5 linked regions of the Macaca fascicularis genome follow. The main gene of each other region encodes a partner of the protein of the gene in region 5 in a complex. Links are inferred from orthologs where the notes say so. Each region holds a gene or a part of one and is shown on either strand. Other genes may lie near its edges. The genes, in order: GNAT3, GRK1, GNAT1, SAG and RHO.

Region 1 (3,514 bases), on a different chromosome or scaffold from region 5:
GAGTGCACTGTCTCACAGAAATTGATATATGCAGCTCCTGGAAAAATGATGTTGTTTAAAGTCCCACTTCAACTGGACATTTTAACATCTGTTTTTATAATTTTTCTTTGTGATAAATGTTTCTTCACTTCTGATAGCAGTCAGAACTTGTTTCATGAAGAACACCTAAGTACCCCACGTTTATTCACAGTTGCCATTTTAATAATTAAAATAATTTTCCAAGTTCAATTTGACAGAAAACTGGGATTTCTTTAGTAAACTTATTCTTGATCTATCCATAAAGACATTTTACTGCATTTTTTCTACAGTCTTTGTCTACTTTATTTACTTAAGTTATTTAATGATTCAATGCAGCAAGATAGACATGACCATGTTTAACATAGAAGTTCAGCAATGATTTGTAATCAAATAAAAAAAACAACAAATAACAAATATAGGCCCTGCTTTTACTTCTTTCAGTTGAGATTTCTTGTATATGAAGGTTCTAATATCTTCAAAGACATTAAAGAGGCATTTGTGCTCTTTTCCCCTCTATGCTAAAGCCTTTATACGTGTAGACACAATATAAACATTTAGTAATATGACATCCAAAAAGACGCCTAACGAATACAAAGCACTTCAAGACAATTAAAACATTATAGAAAGGAACAAAAACAATTCTACAATAAAGATGCAAAAATACGTAACTGGCACATGTAATGACTTTAGCTTTTGATAGGTAAATCTATTTTAAGCTATTATTCCAAAACTTCTAGTAAAATCTTGAGTTTGGCTGAATGAGTGGAAGGTAGAGAAGAGTTCAGCCAAATAAAATGTCAGGCATTTCAACTTTTATAACTCAGTGGCACGTACACAGATGGAGAACTGACAAGAGATTTAACACAGGGCAATTACCTGTACTAAAAAAGATGCCTTTGTTGATGCTGTAAATAGAAGGAAGGCACTCCTATTTTCCAGCATGATAGGAAAAGTCATGAATGTTCTAAATGACTTAACTTCCTCTAGACATCAGGTTGTGGACACAAGGCCAAGTTTCAAAACTGTGAATATATCTTTGTCCTGAGAATCTATAATTTTTTTTTCTTAAAAACAAAAACAAAAACAAAAAACAGGCTTTCTAAGTATAATGCTTATGATTTACTCGTTTCAGAAAAGTATGTTAAAATAACAAATCCTAAGTCCTTTTGTATTTATCATGGTAGCCCAGAAAGAAAATATTGTATGAATGACAATGATAATGAAAGTCCAAAGGCATAAAATTGTTTAGATTTAGCATATACATATGGTCAAAATTCCTTTTTAATGAAAATATACTATAATTGTATTCAAGTAACTTATTTTGATGTGCTTTAGTGTTACAATCAATTATTCAACTCACAGAAACTTTTCATGTTTAAATTATAGGATCATCCATAAGAATGGTTACAGTGAGCAAGAATGCATGGAGTTCAAAGCAGTAATTTACAGTAATACATTGCAATCCATCCTAGCTATTGTGAAAGCCATGACTACCCTTGGAATTGATTATGTAAATCCCAGAAGTGCAGTAAGTATGCAAATAATGACAGCTGTATGTCCTGCAATAGAGTTTGAGCCACAAAATAAGAGGACTTAATAAGTTCATAGTATTAATCTATACCCAAAATTTAAAAATATGAAACATGAATTTTGAAACATTAATTATGTTTTGTGTAAGATTTCTTATTTTCCTTGAAGTGAAACTTTTTTACTGTATACTGTTATTCAACATTAGTTGTTTTCCTGAGGATTAAACTTAATATCAAATAATACACCATAAGAAACAAAAATATTGTTTACGATTGCTAAATGCAAAAGTTTATGGCATAAACACAATTTGCAATATCTCTACATTAATTTTTTAGTTATGTCATTTCAAAGAGACTAACAATGTTTAATAATAACGCAATAATTATGATTAATGTTTGATGATGATTACAAAGTCTGCGTGGCAACAGGGAAATGATTATAATGCTAAGTTTTTTAAAAAAGAATTCAAATTGTAGGAGCAAGCAAATGGTTGTATATTAAGTATATTCAAGTAGTCATAGTTCTGTTTGTAAGGTAACAACAAAATTATTTTCTCCCTACTTTATATTTTGCTATATAGTTATTTTATATTAAAATATATTTGAAATCCACTTACTTTAAAAGTTTATAGGCAAATATATAAAAATATTTGGCAAATGAAACTTACAGTATTATCCAAAGAACCATAGTTGACCCCACCCAAAAAAGAGAAACTGAGTAGAATCCACAAGAAGAACTCACCTATTTCCATATGTCCCCTCCAGGAGCAGCTGGGCATCTGGTTACCTCCAGAGGATGCCAGTTGAATGCCTACCAATGTAATTCTTGGAAACCTTGCTATAGAAACAATAAAAATAGAGAACAAAAGCATAGTAAGGATAAAGAAAGAGGAGTCATTTGAACTCCCTCAACCAGCTTAGTGGACCTTGTAAATGGCCACTGGATCTTGTAAATGACCACTAGAAATCATTACAATTAAAACAAACAAACAAAGGCGGCTTTTCCATGCTCTTAATGTAAAGAAAGGGGAAATCCCCCTTTTTCTTGTCACTTTTCTTCAAAGAACAAAGAAATGCTAAGTATGGTCTTCAGGCAGATAGTTTATAAAGCGAGGAGTCAGATATTTTACTGATTCCCATTTCTAGTTTTCTCCACAGTTTGCTCCAATCTATCTCTCTGGCTACAGTTTCCCACTCATGTGTAAAAGGGGAACTTGATGTTCCCCTTCCCGAGTCCAAGTGATCTCATTGTTCAGTTCCCACCTATGATGGGTGCTGACGAGTTGATGGGTGCAGCACACCAACATGGCACAAGTATACATATGTAACAAACCTGCACGTTATGCACATGTACCCTAGAACTTGAAGTATAATAAAATAAATAAATAAATAAATAAGGGGAACTTGGAGGAGGTGAACTCCAAGATCCTTTTATTCTTTATCTCTCTATGACTTAGTGATCATGTTCTTATTTAAGTGTAGTTCAGTTATGGATCTGAACCTTGGCTTTTTCTAAGATACTAGGATTTTAAATTGACTCTTAAGAGACAACATAGTATAACCACCTTAATTTAAAAAACAAGGATCAAAGAAGATTAGTTGGTTTACATTAAGTAGCTAGAGTTCATGGCAAAACCCACTTCTCCTGGATTCCATTATAGTGCTTTTTGCTTTTAAGGGATTTAATGATTAGAAATATTTTATCTTTTTATCTTAGGCAATAATAGTCACTAAAATAGATGTACCTTCTTAATTCCTTTGAGAATGATTTAATGATGTTTAAATTTGTAGATGCAATATGGTATTCCATGCATTTGTGTCAGAGAAGTTGGAAATCACCTTGCCTATTGCTACTTATTTAATTATACTGTATCCTTCATATGACCCAGAGTTTGTGAAACAGTGATGCTCTGATCACTAAAGACCTGAGCTTTGACCTGGTGTGGTGGCTCACGCCTATAATCTCA
Region 2 (3,514 bases), on a different chromosome or scaffold from region 5:
CCAGGAGAGTAAATGAAGATGAAGTTCACCAGCGCCCGCCCATTCCTGGGGCTGACGCTGGAGCTGGAGACAAGATCAGGCCAGCTGGGGCCATGGCCTTCCTGCTTTCTGGCAGAGAGGAGGTGGTGCTGCCTCCACAAAGTCCTGGCCCCGGATCCATCACCGAGGCAGGCCCCAGGCCCGTGTGGGAGATCAGATCACAGGCTCGCTTGGTACCTGGGCCGCTTAGCCATTGCTTGGTTCTGTTTCCTGGTCTATAAAATGGGAAGAGATAATATCTAAGTTGAAAGATTGTTTGGCCAGGCGCGGTGGCTCAAGCCTGTAATCCCAGCACTTTGGGAGGCCAAGACAGGTGGATCACAAGGTCAGGAGATCGAGACCATCCTAGCTAATGCGGTGAAACCCCGTCTCTACTAAAAAAATACAAAAAAACTAGCTGGGCGAGGTGGCGGGCGCCTGTAGTCCCAGCTACTCGGGAGGCTGAGGCAGGAGAATGGCGTGAACCCGGGAGGTGGAGCTTACAGTGAGCCGAGATCCTGCCACTGAATTCCAGCCTGGGCAACAGAGCAAGACTCCGTCTCAAAAAAAAAAAAAAAAGAAAAAAAAAAAGAAAGATTGTTGGAAGATTAACAGTGTCTGATACCCCTAAGGTTGGGGATGGGCAGGGGCCATGGCTGTGGTTGGCAGCACCATGCCCCATTCTCACCTGCTTTTAATTTCCAAGGAAACTCCTTCAGGTGAGGCTGGTGGCCCATTTTTCAGATGAGGAATGTGAGTCCAGACTAAGTCACCATGCCAGGTGCCCAGGCGGAGGGGAGGGGGCGCCGGGAAGCACACACACGGGGGTGCCCAGGCAGAGGGGAGGGGGCGCTGGGAAGCTTAGTCACAGGGGTGCCCAGGGAGGGCCTGGTGGCTCCGGCCGCCTCATGATCCACCTGGCTCCAGGGCCTCCTCTCCTGTTTCCTGCGACTATACTCCTGGTGCCACCTAGTTTAAATAGTTTATTTTATTTGTTAGGTTTTGCTTCTCTGCAAAACCTGTCCACGGAAAACATAAGAAATGATGTTTTATGGGGGAGGAAAGAGGCTGAGAAGAAACACCTTGCTGCAAATCCTTCACGAGTCTGATGAACTCGGGGCCTGCGGAGCTCCATCCCGCCTCAGCCTGGCCTCTTCCTGAGACGGTCTGGGCTGTTTTCCAGCACCTGCAGCCCACGCCAGGAAGCATGGGGACAGGAGACACACGTGGACGGCACTTTCTCCCCGTTAGCCGTTGGGGTTCGGGGTCCCTGAGCTGCTAACGCCGCCAGCCACCATGGCCTCGGGGTCTCCTCTGCAGGGACGCTGGGGGGCCAGGCCTCAAAACGACCAGAACGCTGGCTGGTTCTGAGGTCCCCGCTCTGTCTTTCCATGATTTTACTCCCCATTAAACCCGGGGCACATGGCTCCCGCGTGTCTGCCCCCAGGTACCACATCTACAACGTGAATGAGGAGAATCCCGGCTTCCCGGAGCCGCGTGCCGTCTTCTACACGGCGCAGATCATCTGCGGCCTGGAGCACCTGCACCAGCGGCGGATCGTCTACCGTGACCTCAAGCCTGAGAATGTGCTGCTGGACAACGACGGTAGGCAGCGCCCGCGGCGGTGAGGGATGGGGGCTCCGAGGACGGCGGGGCGCAGCTTCCCTGGAGGTCTCTGCACAACCTCACGAGGGTTGACAGCTGCGTGGACAGCGGGGGTGTCATTGGGCACCAGGAGTCACGGGAGTGAGTGCAGGGGTCTGCGGTGCAGAACTAGCTGGGAATGGTGAGTCTGCTAGGCCCAGTCCCCACCTTCCTTCTGCCTGAATGAGGCATCACACAGGGATTCTTCTCAGAAATAAACACAAGGGTTTAGGCTCCCGACGCTGGCAGGTCAGGCAAGTGCGAGACACGCACCAGGGCCCAAGAGAGTGTGGGGGGCTGGGATGGGAGGATCCCGGTGGGCAACACCCACGCCTAGCTGCAACACGACCGGCCCTCTTCCCTACACCCTGCGCCCTTCACCGTCAGCCAGGGAGCCGCTGTCATGTGCATGGTGTGTGCTGTGTACGTGTATGTGGTTTGTGGGGTGTGTGTTGTGTGTGAGGTATGTGTGTGGCATATGGTGTGTATGTGTGGTGTGTGATTGTGTGGTATGTCTGGTGTGTGTGGTGTAAGTCTGGGGTGCTGGGGCCTCGTGGTCACTTGGTATGTGTATGTGTGGTGCGAGATATCTGGTGTGGTACGTGGTATGTGTGGTATTGTGTGTGGCGTGTGTGTGTGTGGTATCTGTATGATGTGGTATGTGGTATGTCTGGTATTGTGTGTGGTATGTGTGGTATTGTGTGTGGCACGTGTGTGTGAGGTGTGTATGTAGTCTTTGGTTGTTGGTGTGTGCTGTGTGTGTGGTCTGTGGAATGTGGTGTGTGTGGTATGTGAGTGTGCAGTGAGTGTGGTGTGTCTGAGACCATGTGGGTTGTGTGTGGTGTGTCTGTGAGTTTGGCTGGGGAGGGGAGGATCATGGGCACTGGGTGGTGCTTATGGCTGTTTGGTGTGTGTGTATGTTTGTGGTGTGGTCATGGGGTGTGTGTGTGGGGTGTGTGTGTATGTGTTTGTGGTGTGGTGGTGGGGTGTGTGCATGTGAGTCTGGCTAGGGAGGGGAGGCTTCTGGGCTCTGGGACCTCATGGCTGCCTGGTATGTCTGTGTGTGGTGTGTGTCTGTGATATGTGTGTGTGTGGTGTGGTATGTGTGGTATGGTCTATGTGGTCTGCGTGTGGTATGGTATGTATAGTGTAGTAGTGGTGTGTCTGTGTGGTATGGTGTGGGTGTGTGGTGTGATCTGTGTAGTGTGTGTGGTGTGTAGTGTGTGTGTGGTGTGATCTGTGTGTGTGTGGTGTCCATGGTGTGTGTTGTGATCTGTGTGGTGTGTGGTGTTCGTGGTGTGTGTGTGTGTGGTGTCTGTGGTGTGATCTGTGTGGTGTGTGTGGTGTAGTGTGTGTTGTGTGTGTGCGTTTGTGTGAAGGTGGCTCTGGGCTCACTGGTACCTGTGCAGCCAGGGGTGACTCCACTGTGTCTGCCTCTCAGGCAATGTCCGGATCTCTGACCTTGGGCTGGCTGTGGAGCTGCTGGATGGGCAGAGCAAGACCAAGGGCTATGCAGGGACCCCAGGTAAGGGTCTGAGCACAGCTGGGGAGGCTCTGTGCATGTGTGCATCCCTGTGTACATGTGTGTCTGTGTGCACATGCATGTACGTGTGAGTTTGTGTATATATGTGTGTGTGCACATCATGTACATGTGAGTTTGTGTGTATATGTGTGTCTGCACATCATGTACATGTGAGTTTGTGTATATATGTGTGTGCACATCACATATATGTGAGTTTGTGTATATATGTGTGCCTGTGTGCACATCACGTACATGTGAGTTTGTTATATATGTGTGTGTACATCACGTACATGTGAGTTTGCGTATATATGTGTGTCTGTGTACACATCA
Region 3 (4,111 bases), about 41 Mb from region 5:
CGGGTGTGGTGGCGGGCGCCTGTAGTCTCAGCTACTTGGGAGGCTGAGGCGGGAGAATGGCGTGAACCCGGGAGGCGGAGCTTGCAGTGAGCCGAGATCACGCCAGTGCACTCCAGCCTGGGAGACACAGCGAGACTCCGTCTCAAAAAAAAAAAAAAAAAAAAAAAAACTAGCCGGGCAAGGTGGCGGGCGCCTGCAGTCCCAGCTACTTGGGAGGCTGAGGCAGGAGAATGGCGTAAACCCGGGAGGCGGAGCTTGCAGTGAGCTGAGATCCGGCCACTGCACTCCAGCCTGGGTGACAGAGCGAGACTCCATCTTAAAAAAAAAAAAAAAAAATGCTGGGCACGATGGCTCACGCCTGTAATCCCAGCACTTTGGGAGGCCACGGCGGGTGGATCATGAGGTCAGGAGATCGAGACCATCCTGGCTAACACGGTGAAACCCTGTCTTTACTAAAAATACAAAAAATTAGCCCGATGTGGTGGTGGGCGCCTGTTGTCCCAGCTACTTGGGAGGCTGAGCCAGGAGAATGGCGTGAACCCGGGAGGCAGAGCTTGCCGTGAGCCAATATCGTGCCACTGCACTCCAGCCTGAGCAACAGAGCTAGACTCCGTCCAAAAAAAAAAAAAAGACACATACACCAAGGCACACAGAGAAGATATGCATGCCCACCAGAGTCCGCTGGAAGCCGAGGACCTCTTTGGGGTAGCTCCAGCCTGTGATATGGGATTATGGGATGAATGCAATGCCCACTGTTTCCCTCTCTCTGGATTCCCTGCAGGTCATAAAATCCCAGTCCAGTGTCACCCAGCCCTTCTTAACCACTTCCTCCTGTGTGACGCTTTGAGCCTCTACTTCCTCATCAGTAAAATGAGGCTGATGACATGGGCATCTATCCTCCAGGGCCAGTGTGAGCTTACAACAAGATAAGGAGTGGTGCTGAGCCCGGTGCTGGGCAGGCAGCAGGCATGTTTCTCCCAATTATGCCCTCTCACTGCCAGCTCCACCTCCATCGTCCTCACCCCCAGGGCTCAAGTTTCTGCCTTCCCCTTTCTCAGCCCTGATTCTACCCACTCCCAGGCAGCACCAGGGCCTCTCCTGAAGGGTGGAGGGGGGCAGAAGGACAGCAGGAGTGCAGAGTCAGCGGTTGAGGGATTGGGGCTATGCCAGCCTGATTAGAAGGGTTGGGGGGGCTGAGCTGGATTCACCTGTCCTTGTCTCTGATTGGCTCTTGGACACCCCTAGCCCCCAAATCCCACTAAGTAGCCCCACTAGGGACTGCACAGGTCCGTAGAGAGCCAGTTGATTGCAGGTCCTCCTGGGGCCAGAAGGGTGCCTGGGAGGCCAGGTTCTGAGGATCCCCTCCATCCAGAAGAACCACCTGCTCACTCTGTCCCTTCACCTGCTGCTGGGACCATGGGGGCTGGGGCCAGTGCTGAGGAGAAGCACTCCAGGGAGCTGGAAAAGAAGCTGAAAGAGGATGCTGAGAAGGATGCTCGAACCGTGAAGTTGCTGCTTCTGGGTAGGGGTGTGGGCCCTGGTGGGGCCACTGCCACCAGATCATTGGTCTGGAGGCAGGCAGGCAGCCCTTCTGTGAAGCAAGGGTTCCCTGGGAAGCAATATGAGCCTGCAACAGAGTAGGGCACAGGGTGGGAGCCCTGGCCAAGCAAGGCCAGGCCTGACAGGTGGTGTCCTATTCCCCCAAGGCTGGACATCCCATGAAGCCCCTCTCCAGACGGCTCTGCCTCAGGTGACCCACCCTCCAGAAGTGCGTGCCAACCACACTCTTGCACGAGTGTGTGAGGCTGACTTTTCTGTGGCTGGGCTCCCACAAGCGTCATGCAGCCTTTGGTTTGGTAGGCCTGCTGGGCAGTGCTCAGAAGCCAGGGGCCTCACTGGGAGCCCGTTATTGGGCTGCTACTTTGGGAAGGGGATGGTCATAGTCCTCCTGGGGGTGGGGAGTCTCTAGAACCACCCAGATCCACAAAGAATGGCCCTCAGGTGCCAGAGGGCTGTGGCTGGTAGACCTACAAAGCAGCCAACGGGTCTGGCAGGTGCTGAGGCCCAGTGGGAGTAGATAAAGCCGTGTCCACCAGACCGTGGGCAGTGAGAAGAGACGGGGCTGATCCAGGCCTGCCTCAAGGTCACTGTCTGACCTCTCAAGGGGAAAGAGCAGCTTCAAGAGGGCCGGGCAGGCTCCACCCAAGCTCCCCAGAGTCTGGTCAACCAGCTGGAGGTGGGTGAGGGACCAAGCCAGTCCCACTTTCCCCCAAGGCAGAGAGGCTAAGCCAGAAATCTCATTAACTGTGCCCAACGCCCTCGCAGGGGCAAGCTCAGAAAGGATGTCAACTCTGCCCTCCCTGCTACCCAAAGGCGCTAATTCCCTCTGAGCCTCTTGGAGACACCCGCATCCCTTCAGGTGAAAAGCAAGGGATTTACCCGCCTCAAATAACCCAGTGCATGCGGTGCCAGAGGCTCCCACGAGGTGGCGATGGCGCTTCGGGATTTCTTCATTGCAGTCTCACAGCATAATAAAGGCTGCCTGTGTCGGTGTCTTGGGGCCTCCCTGTCCCAGAACAGTTGAGGTCGTTGATTCCCCTCGTTGGCTTCCTTTCTTCACTTTCCTGACATTTGCAAACCTTGTGCCTTCAGGGTGTCAGGACTTACTTTGGACGGGGTGGGTAGGTGTGGCTACGGGGTGGGGGCTGACGCTCAGGCCTCTTCGCTGCCGGTCCACCCTGACAACGGTCCTCCCGGCCTCCTTGGGGGAGGGGGCAGGCGGTCAGCGCAGCTCTGAGGCGCCGCTTCCCTTTCAGGTGCGGGTGAGTCCGGGAAGAGCACCATCGTCAAGCAGATGAAGTGAGTGCCCCTGCCTGTCCCGAGGTCCCTGGGGCTGGGTCCTTCCCCACTTCCCCACGAGGCTCTGACCCTGCTCGCCTCGGCCTCAGGATTATCCACCAGGACGGGTATTCGCTGGAAGAGTGCCTCGAGTTCATCGCCATCATCTACGGCAACACGTTGCAGTCCATCCTGGCCATCGTGCGCGCCATGACCACACTCAACATCCAGTACGGAGACTCTGCACGCCAGGTGTGCCAGGAGGCGGGCTGAGCGGGCCTCTGGGGACTCGAGGCTCGTGGCTGGGCCCGAGTCCCTGGCCGCCACCAGCCACTCTCACCCTGCCCCCAGGACGACGCCCGGAAGCTGATGCACATGGCAGACACCATAGAGGAGGGCACGATGCCCAAGGAGATGTCGGACATCATCCAGCGGCTGTGGAAGGACTCCGGTATCCAGGCCTGTTTTGAGCGCGCCTCGGAGTACCAGCTCAACGACTCGGCGGGCTAGTGAGCGCGTGGGCAGCGCGGGGCGCGGGGCGCAGGGGGCCCTCCACGCCTCCCCACCCACCCACGGCCCGGTCTCGCGCAGCTACCTCTCCGACCTGGAGCGCCTGGTAACCCCGGGCTACGTGCCCACAGAGCAGGATGTGCTGCGCTCGCGAGTCAAGACCACTGGCATCATCGAGACGCAGTTCTCCTTCAAGGACCTCAACTTCCGGTACGACCCACATGCCAGCCCGGGAGGTCACTGCCCCAGGCCCCGTCCTGCCCCGGGGACCCCATCCCTGCGATAGACCCTGCCCCTTCCTGGATATCCCGCCAGCAGAAAGGGTAGTAGTCCCAGCAGAGAGCTCCCCGACCAGCACAGGGCGAGGGGATGCTCCCTGTTAGGCCCAGGGCGCGGGTTCAGGCCCCCGCGGCCCCGCAGGATGTTCGATGTGGGCGGGCAGCGCTCGGAGCGCAAGAAGTGGATCCACTGCTTCGAGGGCGTGACCTGCATCATCTTCATCGCGGCGCTGAGCGCCTACGACATGGTGCTGGTGGAGGACGACGAAGTGGTGGGTGCCAGGCAGGGCCTGTGTTCCAGGGGCGAGGAGGAGTTGCTGGCCCCTGGAGGCGGAGACGGCGCGCTGGGCGTGGGGAGGGCCCGGGAGGGGATGCTGGTCCCGGGCAGCCTGAGGAGGCCGGTAGGCGTTCAGCAGGCCCATCTGGGGCAGTGCCGGGCGCCCTCTGAGAGCCAGCTTAACAGGAAGCCCCACGTGCCCGGGAGC
Region 4 (3,514 bases), on a different chromosome or scaffold from region 5:
CCCCACAGGAGGGTACACCTGGACCCGGGAGAAGTACAGGTCCCTGCGGAAGGCCAGGCCGATCACATCAATGTCCTCTTGGCCATAGCGGAAGGCGCAGGTCAGAGTGACATACACTGCAAAGGAGATGAAGGCAGGGTTGGACTTGGCACTCGGCCTGGCACCCACCACCACTGATGGAGTGGGTAGCGGGCCCGGGTTTTCAACTTTTAGCATCTGGAAAGGATGCGGGTTGGGACTGGAGAGAACCCTGCCACTCAGCTACTCCACACCGCTCTGGAGAATCAGCCCCTTCGTGAGGGTTCACCACTCTAACCGGAGATCCTGGCATCTCCCTCCCAATTGTGTCATGTTGTCAGAATGGTAGGAATCTGCAGACAGAGGACCCAGTCCCCTCCATCCTGCCCGCCCCCTTCATTCCCTAGCTCCGTGGCCTCAGAGGCTTTGAGACAGTGCTGGCTGCTCACGTTCTGGCGGGCAGGATGTCTGGACGAATGAAGGAAGAAGGTAAGATGCAGAGGGAAACAGTGCTGGGCAGCCAAGCAGATGTGGGCCAGAGTTAATCGTGGGCTAAACGAGGAACCAGAAGGCTCACAGGCCACATGGGGAGGCGAAGTCCAACTTGAGAAGGCTCGAGTTCCAGCCTCCTTTTCACAGTGCTCTGAAACATACTGAGCGTGCTCCAAACCCCCACTTCTGAAAATTCCACTTGTTGAACAGACTTAAAGTGCGCGCCCAGTGGACTAAAAGAATTGTATGGAAGTTCACTACGCCTTCTAAAAAAGACACAAAGCATGTATCTCTCAAATATAAAGCGCGTCAGAGGTGGCCCCTCCAAGTGCGTGGCGGCTGTTGGTTGAGAATTTTGCCTGTCAGCCTCAAAGGTAACTGCCCCTCGCTGCTGACTCAGAAGAAATGGTGGCCACTCACTCGCCCCTCATTCAAAGTCAGGACTAAGAAGGTGCCCAGAGACTACCCAGTTTGACAGCTGTCCTGTGCTGTGGCTTTCCCTGAGAACAGGCGCCCTTCTCTGGTCAAGGACATGGGCTTTCAGATGTCTCCTGGTCCAGAGAGGAGCAGGGCACCCAGATGTCTCCTGGTCCAGAGAGGAGCAGGGCACCCATATGTCTCCTGGTCCAGAGAGGAGCAGGGCATCCAGGAGGAAGGTGGAGAGGACAGAGGGGGCCGTTTGGGGCCCCATTTCAGCCATGCCCCTCTTGATGCTGATGGCCCCACAGCTGACATATTCCAGTGGCACATCCAGGGTTCTCAACAATTCCTTGATGTTGCCAGTAGCAACACTCAAAAAGGCATATTTAGAATGGAACTGAGTCAGTGACATTATCACAAGGATAGCTGGAATCTGTTCTAATTTGGTTTACGCAACTGTTATTAGTAACAAATTACTTACCACACACATCAAAACTGCCAGAAATCTTCAAGGGCACCGTGACACTGGTTCAGAACCATCAAAGTAAGCGCCATCATAAATTCCGGGTCTTACTCCCCCTGTGTCCCGGCAGGCATCATTTGCCCCTTTTTAGTGTTGGTTGAGAATTTTGCCCGTCAGCCCCAACAGTAACTGCCCCTCGCCACTGACTCGGAAGAAACACTGTCCACTCACTCTGCCCTCATTCATTCAAGGTCTGGTGTCCTCCTGAGTCCGAGGCAGCCCAGGCGCCCTCCTGAGTTTGCCCCTAGCACAGAAGTACACGATACAGGGGTTAGCACACACCGATGGGGGCCACAGACCTGGGCTCCATCTACCATCTACTTATCTGCCACCCTGGACAATGACTTTGCTGAGCGAGTGAGCTCTGGTGTCAACGGGACCTATGTCACGTGAATTAAGTACGGGAGTGTGGGTCAACGGGCCTGGCACTGGTTCCATGTGCAAGAGCACTGCCTCTGCCTTCCTGTTTCTCCTTCCACGTAAATGCCCCTTCCCAGAGCCGCCCAGAGAGCAGCCCACTCCACCCAGAAACCAGCCTGAGACAAGGGGCTTCATCTCACCTTTCTTTCCCTTCACGAGGTCAGGATCAACCAACACGACACCATCTAAGGCAAAAGAGGGAGAGAGCAGTGAGGGTGGAGAAGATCAAAGAAACCAGACACCTACTTTAAAAACTATGTATGTTTTTAATTGCACATGTAATCCATGTTCATTATAAGAAAGAAAGAAAAGTTAAGGGCAAAAAGTCATCCAAATTCCTACCACCTAAAAATACCTATTGTGAAGCTCTCGGTGCAGACTTTTATTTTATTTTTCCAGGCCAGGTGTGGTGGCTCATGCCTGTAATCCCAGCACTTTGGGAGGCCGAGGCAGGGGGACTGCTCGAGCCTAGGAGTTTGAGGGCAGCCTGAGCAACACAGTGAGATCGTTGTCTCTACAAAAAGCTTTTTAAAAAATTAGCAGCAGCCTGGGTAACAAAATGAGAGCCTGTCTTTACATAAAATTTAAAAAGTTAGCTGGGTGTGGTGGTGCATGCCTGTAGTCCCAACTACTCAGGAGGCTGAGGCAGGAGGATCCCTCGAGTCTGGGATGTCAAGTCTGCAGTGAGCCATGATCATGCCACTGGACTCCAGCCTGGGTAATAGAACCAGATCTTTTCTCAAAACATATAAAAAAGAAAAAAGAAAAAAAGTTAGCAGGGCATGGGCCAGGCATGGTGGTGCCTGCTTGTGGTCCCAGCTACGTGAGAGGCGGAGGTAGGGGGATTTCTTGAACCTGGGAGGTTGAGGCTGCAGTGAGCTGTGACCATGCTACTGCACTCCAGCCTGGGTGACAGTGAGACACTGCCCCGCACCCCCGCCCAAAAAAATTTTTCCAGACATATATAACTTAATTATATGAATGCGCCGGGCGCGGTGGCTCAAGCCTGTAATCCCAGCACTTTGGGAGGCCGAGACGGGCGGATCACGAGGTCAGGAGATCGAGACCATCCTGGCGAACACGGTGAAACCCCGTCTCTACTAAAAATACAAAAAAAAAAAACTAGCTGGGCGAGGTGGCGGGCGCCTGTAGTCCCAGCTACTTGGGAGGCTGAGGCAGGAGAATGGCGTAAACCCGGGAGGCGGAGCTTGCAGTGAGCTGAGATCCGGCCACTGCACTCCAGCCTGGGCGACAGAGCGAGACTCTGTCTCAAAAAAAAAAAAAAAAAAAAAAAAAAAAATACAAAAAACTAGCCGGGCGAGGTGGCGGGCGCCTGTAGTCCCAGCTACTCGGGAGGCTGAGGCAGGAGAATGGCGGGAACCTGGGAGGCGGAGCTTGCAGTGAGCTGAGATCTGGCCACTGCACTCCAGCCTGGGCGACAGAGCGAGACTCCATCTCAAAAAAAAAAAAAATTATATGAATGCTTTTACTAAGAAAAAAAAGATCCTATTGTACTTACTGTTCAGCTAACTGCTTTCCTCACTCAATTATACATTGAAAACATCTATTCAAACATACATACATCTATACACACACGTATATATATATACACACACATATAGACAAAACATGTGCTAAGCA
Region 5 (3,206 bases):
GAAGCACAGCCTCTGGACGCTCTGGGTTTCCTGAGGCCAGTCAACTGTCACCAATATCAGGAACCACTGCCACATCCTAACAATGTGCCCTGGAAACCTCTTGTTTCCAGAAGCTGCACAAAGATCCCTTAGATACCCTGTGTGTCCATCTTTGACCTGGAAAATACTCTCGCCCTGGGGCTAGGAAAACCTCAGTTTATACAAACTGCCTCAAATACAGAGCCTCCCCTCCTCCTCACCAACCTCTGCCTGGCATAACCCTAGGCTCAGAGGGCAGTGGATGCTGGGGCTGGGCATGCCGGGAGAGGCTGGGTGGTATCATCTGGTACCGCAGCCACCAGTGAAGCGACACTGATTCCACAAGGTGCGTCTGCATCCCCATCTGATCCATATTCCATCCCGTCACCCAGCCATGCAGACGCTTATGATCCCCTTTTCCAGGAAGGGAATGTGAAGCCCCAGAAAGGGCCAGCGCTCGGCAGGCGCCTTGGCCAAGTCCCTCACAGGCGGGTTCTCCCTACCTGCCCGTCCTCAGATACATCCCCGAGGGCTTGCAGTGCTCGTGCGGAATTGACTACTACACGCTCAAGCCAGAGGTCAACAACGAGTCCTTTGTTATCTACATGTTCGTGGTCCACTTCACCATCCCCATGATTGTCATCTTCTTCTGCTACGGGCAGCTCGTCTTCACCGTCAAGGAGGTATGGGCCGGGGAGTGGGCAGCCTCACGGCTCTGACAGTCCAGCCCCCAGCATGTATCTGCGGCTCCTGCTCCCTGGAGGAGCCATGGTCTGGACCCGGGCCCCTTGTCTTGCAGGCCGCTGCCCAGCAGCAGGAGTCGGCCACCACACAGAAGGCAGAGAAGGAGGTCACTCGCATGGTCATCATCATGGTCATCGCTTTCCTGATCTGCTGGGTGCCCTATGCCAGCGTGGCATTCTACATCTTCACCCACCAGGGCTCCAACTTCGGTCCCATCTTCATGACCATCCCAGCGTTCTTTGCCAAGAGCGCCTCCATCTACAACCCTGTCATCTATATCATGATGAACAAGCAGGTGCCTACTGCGGGTGGGAGGGCCCCAGTGTCCCAGACCACAGGCACTGCCTGCCAAGGACAAACTGCGTCCCAGGGCAGGGGAGGGGGCTCCATCAGGGCTACTGGCAGCAGTCTTGGGTCAGCAGTCTCAATGGGGAGTGTGTGAGAAATGCAGATTCCTGGCCCCACCCAGATCTGCTGAATCTCAGGGAGGGCCTAGGAACCTACATTTCCAACAAGCTCTCCACAGGTGGCTCAGATGCTCACTGAGGTGGGAGAAGCTCTAGTCCAGATAGTTCTGGAAGCCCAATGTCAAAGTCAGAAGGTCCCAAGAGGGGAATGGATGGGCCAGTCTCCATAAAGCTGAATAAGGAGCTAAAAAGTCTTATTCTGAGGGGTAAAGGGGTAAAGGGGTAAAGGTTCCTCTCCAAGGAACTCAGAAGTTGGGGTAAACAGTCTCTGAAGTCAGCTCTGCCATTTTCTAACTATGTGACCCCATGCAAGTCAATTCCCCTCTCTGTGCTTTGGTTTCCTCATCCATAGAAAGGGCAAAACACCCAACTCTCAGATTACAGGAGATAATTTACAGAACACCCTTGGCACACAGAGGGCACCATGAAATGTCATGGGCGACACAGCCCTCTCGTGCTGGGTCCCTGGCATCTCTAGGGGTGAGGAGCGTCTGCTTAGCAAGTTTCCTCCAGGAAGCCAGATTTGAGTGGACGGGGCGCTGGAACTGTGAGGGGCAGAAGCAGGGAAAAGGTTGGGGCAAACCTCACTAACGTGCCAGTTCCAAGCACACTGTGGGCAGCCCTGGCCCTGACTCAAGCCTCTTGCCTTCCAGTTCCGGAACTGCATGCTCACCACCATCTGCTGCGGCAAGAACCCGCTGGGTGACGATGAGGCCTCTGCCACCGTGTCCAAGACGGAGACTAGCCAGGTGGCCCCAGCCTAAGACCTGCCTAGGACGCTGTGGCCGACTGTAGGCGTCTCCCGTCCCCCACACCCTCCCCCAGCCACAGCCATCCCACCAGGAGCAGCGCCTGTGCAGAATGAACGAAGTCACATAGGCTCCTTCATTTTTTTTTTTAAAGAAATAATTAATGAGAGAAAAATGAGGCTCCTCACTCACCCGGGACAGCCTGAGAAGGGACATCCACCAACACCTACTGATCTGGAGTCCCAGGTTCCCCAAGGCCAGTGGGATCTGTGCCCCTCCTCCTCCCAGCTCATCTTTCAGGAACATGAGGATTCTTGCTTTCTGGAAAAGTGTCCCAGCTTAGGGATAAGTGTCTAGCACAGAATGGGGCACACAGTAGGTGCTTAATAAATGCTGGATGGATGCAGGAAGGAATGGAGGAATGAAAGCGAAGGGAGAACATATCTATCCTCTCAGACCCTCTTAGCAGCAGCAACTCATACTTGGCTAATGATAAGGAGCAGTTGTTTTTCCCTCCCTGGGCCTCACTTTCTTCCCCTATAAAATGGAAATCCCAGATTCCTGGTCCTGCCGACACGCAGCTACTGAGAGGACCAAAAGAGGTGTGTGTGTGTGTGTGTGTGTGTGTGTGTGTCTATGTGTGTGTTTCAGCACCTTGTAAATAGCAAGAGCTGTACAGATTCTAGTTCATGTTGTGAATAACATCAATTAATGTAACTAGTTAATTATTATGATTATCACCTCCTGATTGTGAACATTCTGAGACTGGGCATTCGGATGATGGGGTTTCACCCAGCCTCGGGGCAGGTTTTTAAAAATTAGCTAGGCGTCAAGGCCAGACCAGGGCTGGGGCTGGGCTGCAGACAAGGACAGTCACAGGAATGCAGAATGCAGTCATCACACCTGAAAAAACAACATTGGGGGAGTGGGGCGATGAAGGCCAAGTTCTCAGTGAGGGTGAGATTGGGCCTGGGGTATCACCCCTACTGTGAGGCCCCAGACCCCGTGCCTCCCCTTCCCAGTGTGGCTTATGGAGAGACACGCCTTTCTCTCAGCCTCTGGAAGTTACCTGCTCTTTTGCCCTAGCACCTGGGCCCCAGCATCTACAGCATGGAGCCTCTGGAAGATATGCTCACCGGCCCACATTTAATGAACAGCTGAGTCCCTGATGTCATCCTTATCTCAAAGAGCTTAGAAACAAAGAGTGGGAAATTCCACTGGGCCCACC

Evidence for each region.
Region 1: the proteins of RHO (region 5) and GNAT3 are in contact, whole or in part, in a crystal structure (PDB 4A4M), measured with the Bos taurus proteins. The link is inferred for Macaca fascicularis from reciprocal best matches to the Homo sapiens genes RHO and GNAT3. Residues at the interface, in NP_001014890.1 of Bos taurus: Leu72, Arg135, Val138, Val139, Lys141, Thr229, Val230, Ala233, Thr242, Thr243, Lys245, Ala246, Glu249, Val250, Asn310, Lys311, Gln312; in NP_001103452.1 of Bos taurus: Ile344, Asn347, Leu348, Lys349, Asp350, Cys351, Gly352, Leu353, Phe354.
Region 2: the proteins of RHO (region 5) and GRK1 are in contact, whole or in part, in a cryo-EM structure (PDB 7MT8), measured with the Bos taurus proteins. The link is inferred for Macaca fascicularis from reciprocal best matches to the Homo sapiens genes RHO and GRK1. Residues at the interface, in NP_001014890.1 of Bos taurus: Lys66, Lys67, Arg69, Thr70, Arg135, Val137, Val138, Val139, Lys141, Ser144, Asn145, Phe146, Arg147, Phe148, Glu150, His152, Leu226, Thr229, Val230, Ala233, Gln236, Gln237, Glu239, Thr243, Ala246, Val250, Met257, Ile305, Tyr306, Met309; in NP_776598.1 of Bos taurus: Leu6, Glu7, Thr8, Val9, Val10, Ser13, Ala14, Ile16, Ala17, Ala18, Arg19, Gly20, Asp23, Ala24, Glu184, Asp185, Trp186, Phe187, Leu188, Asp189, Phe190, Val192, Arg195, Glu200, Gln205, Met206, Lys207, Lys221, Arg222, Thr256.
Region 3: the proteins of RHO (region 5) and GNAT1 are in contact, whole or in part, in a cryo-EM structure (PDB 6OYA), measured with the Bos taurus proteins. The link is inferred for Macaca fascicularis from reciprocal best matches to the Homo sapiens genes RHO and GNAT1. Residues at the interface, in NP_001014890.1 of Bos taurus: Leu72, Arg135, Val138, Val139, Lys141, Ser144, Asn145, Phe146, Arg147, Val230, Ala233, Gln236, Gln237, Ser240, Thr242, Thr243, Lys245, Ala246, Glu249, Val250, Met253, Met257, Asn310, Lys311, Gln312; in NP_851365.1 of Bos taurus: Ala27, Arg28, Asp189, Leu190, Val312, Glu314, Tyr316, Asp333, Ala334, Asp337, Ile340, Lys341, Asn343, Leu344, Lys345, Asp346, Cys347, Gly348, Leu349, Phe350.
Region 4: the proteins of RHO (region 5) and SAG are in contact, whole or in part, in a crystal structure (PDB 4PXF), measured with the Bos taurus proteins. The link is inferred for Macaca fascicularis from reciprocal best matches to the Homo sapiens genes RHO and SAG. Residues at the interface, in NP_001014890.1 of Bos taurus: Arg135, Val138, Val139, Lys141, Leu226, Glu249, Val250, Met253, Met309, Asn310, Lys311, Gln312; in XP_010802144.1 of Bos taurus: Asp71, Ile72, Met75, Gly76, Leu77.

Annotation. Positions count from the first base shown.
Region 1 is NC_088377.1:140,932,608-140,936,121, forward strand, and holds part of GNAT3 (guanine nucleotide-binding protein G(t) subunit alpha-3), read left to right. Parts: intron 1-1,404; coding exon 1,405-1,546; intron 1,547-3,514. UniProt on the Homo sapiens protein: Guanine nucleotide-binding protein (G protein) alpha subunit playing a prominent role in bitter and sweet taste transduction as well as in umami (monosodium glutamate, monopotassium glutamate, and inosine monophosphate) taste transduction.
Region 2 is NC_088391.1:104,065,689-104,069,202, forward strand, and holds part of GRK1 (rhodopsin kinase GRK1), read left to right. Parts: intron 1-1,465; coding exon 1,466-1,623; intron 1,624-3,103; coding exon 3,104-3,187; intron 3,188-3,514. UniProt on the Homo sapiens protein: Retina-specific kinase involved in the signal turnoff via phosphorylation of rhodopsin (RHO), the G protein- coupled receptor that initiates the phototransduction cascade.
Region 3 is NC_088376.1:113,220,110-113,224,220, forward strand, and holds the start of GNAT1 (guanine nucleotide-binding protein G(t) subunit alpha-1), read left to right. Parts: upstream 1-1,300; 5' UTR 1,301-1,416; coding exon 1,417-1,522; intron 1,523-2,450; exon of another isoform or gene 2,451-2,681; intron 2,682-2,816; coding exon 2,817-2,859; intron 2,860-2,948; coding exon 2,949-3,090; intron 3,091-3,189; coding exon 3,190-3,347; intron 3,348-3,429; coding exon 3,430-3,558; intron 3,559-3,768; coding exon 3,769-3,898; intron 3,899-4,111. UniProt on the Homo sapiens protein: Functions as a signal transducer for the rod photoreceptor RHO. Required for normal RHO-mediated light perception by the retina.
Region 4 is NC_088386.1:129,260,603-129,264,116, reverse strand, and holds part of SAG (S-arrestin), read right to left. Parts: intron 2,059-3,514; coding exon 2,014-2,058; intron 117-2,013; coding exon 1-116. UniProt on the Homo sapiens protein: Binds to photoactivated, phosphorylated RHO and terminates RHO signaling via G-proteins by competing with G-proteins for the same binding site on RHO. May play a role in preventing light-dependent degeneration of retinal photoreceptor cells.
Region 5 is NC_088376.1:153,861,780-153,864,985, reverse strand, and holds the end of RHO (rhodopsin), read left to right. Parts: intron 1-535; coding exon 536-701; intron 702-817; coding exon 818-1,057; intron 1,058-1,882; coding exon 1,883-1,993; 3' UTR 1,994-2,703; downstream 2,704-3,206. UniProt on the Homo sapiens protein: Photoreceptor required for image-forming vision at low light intensity. Required for photoreceptor cell viability after birth.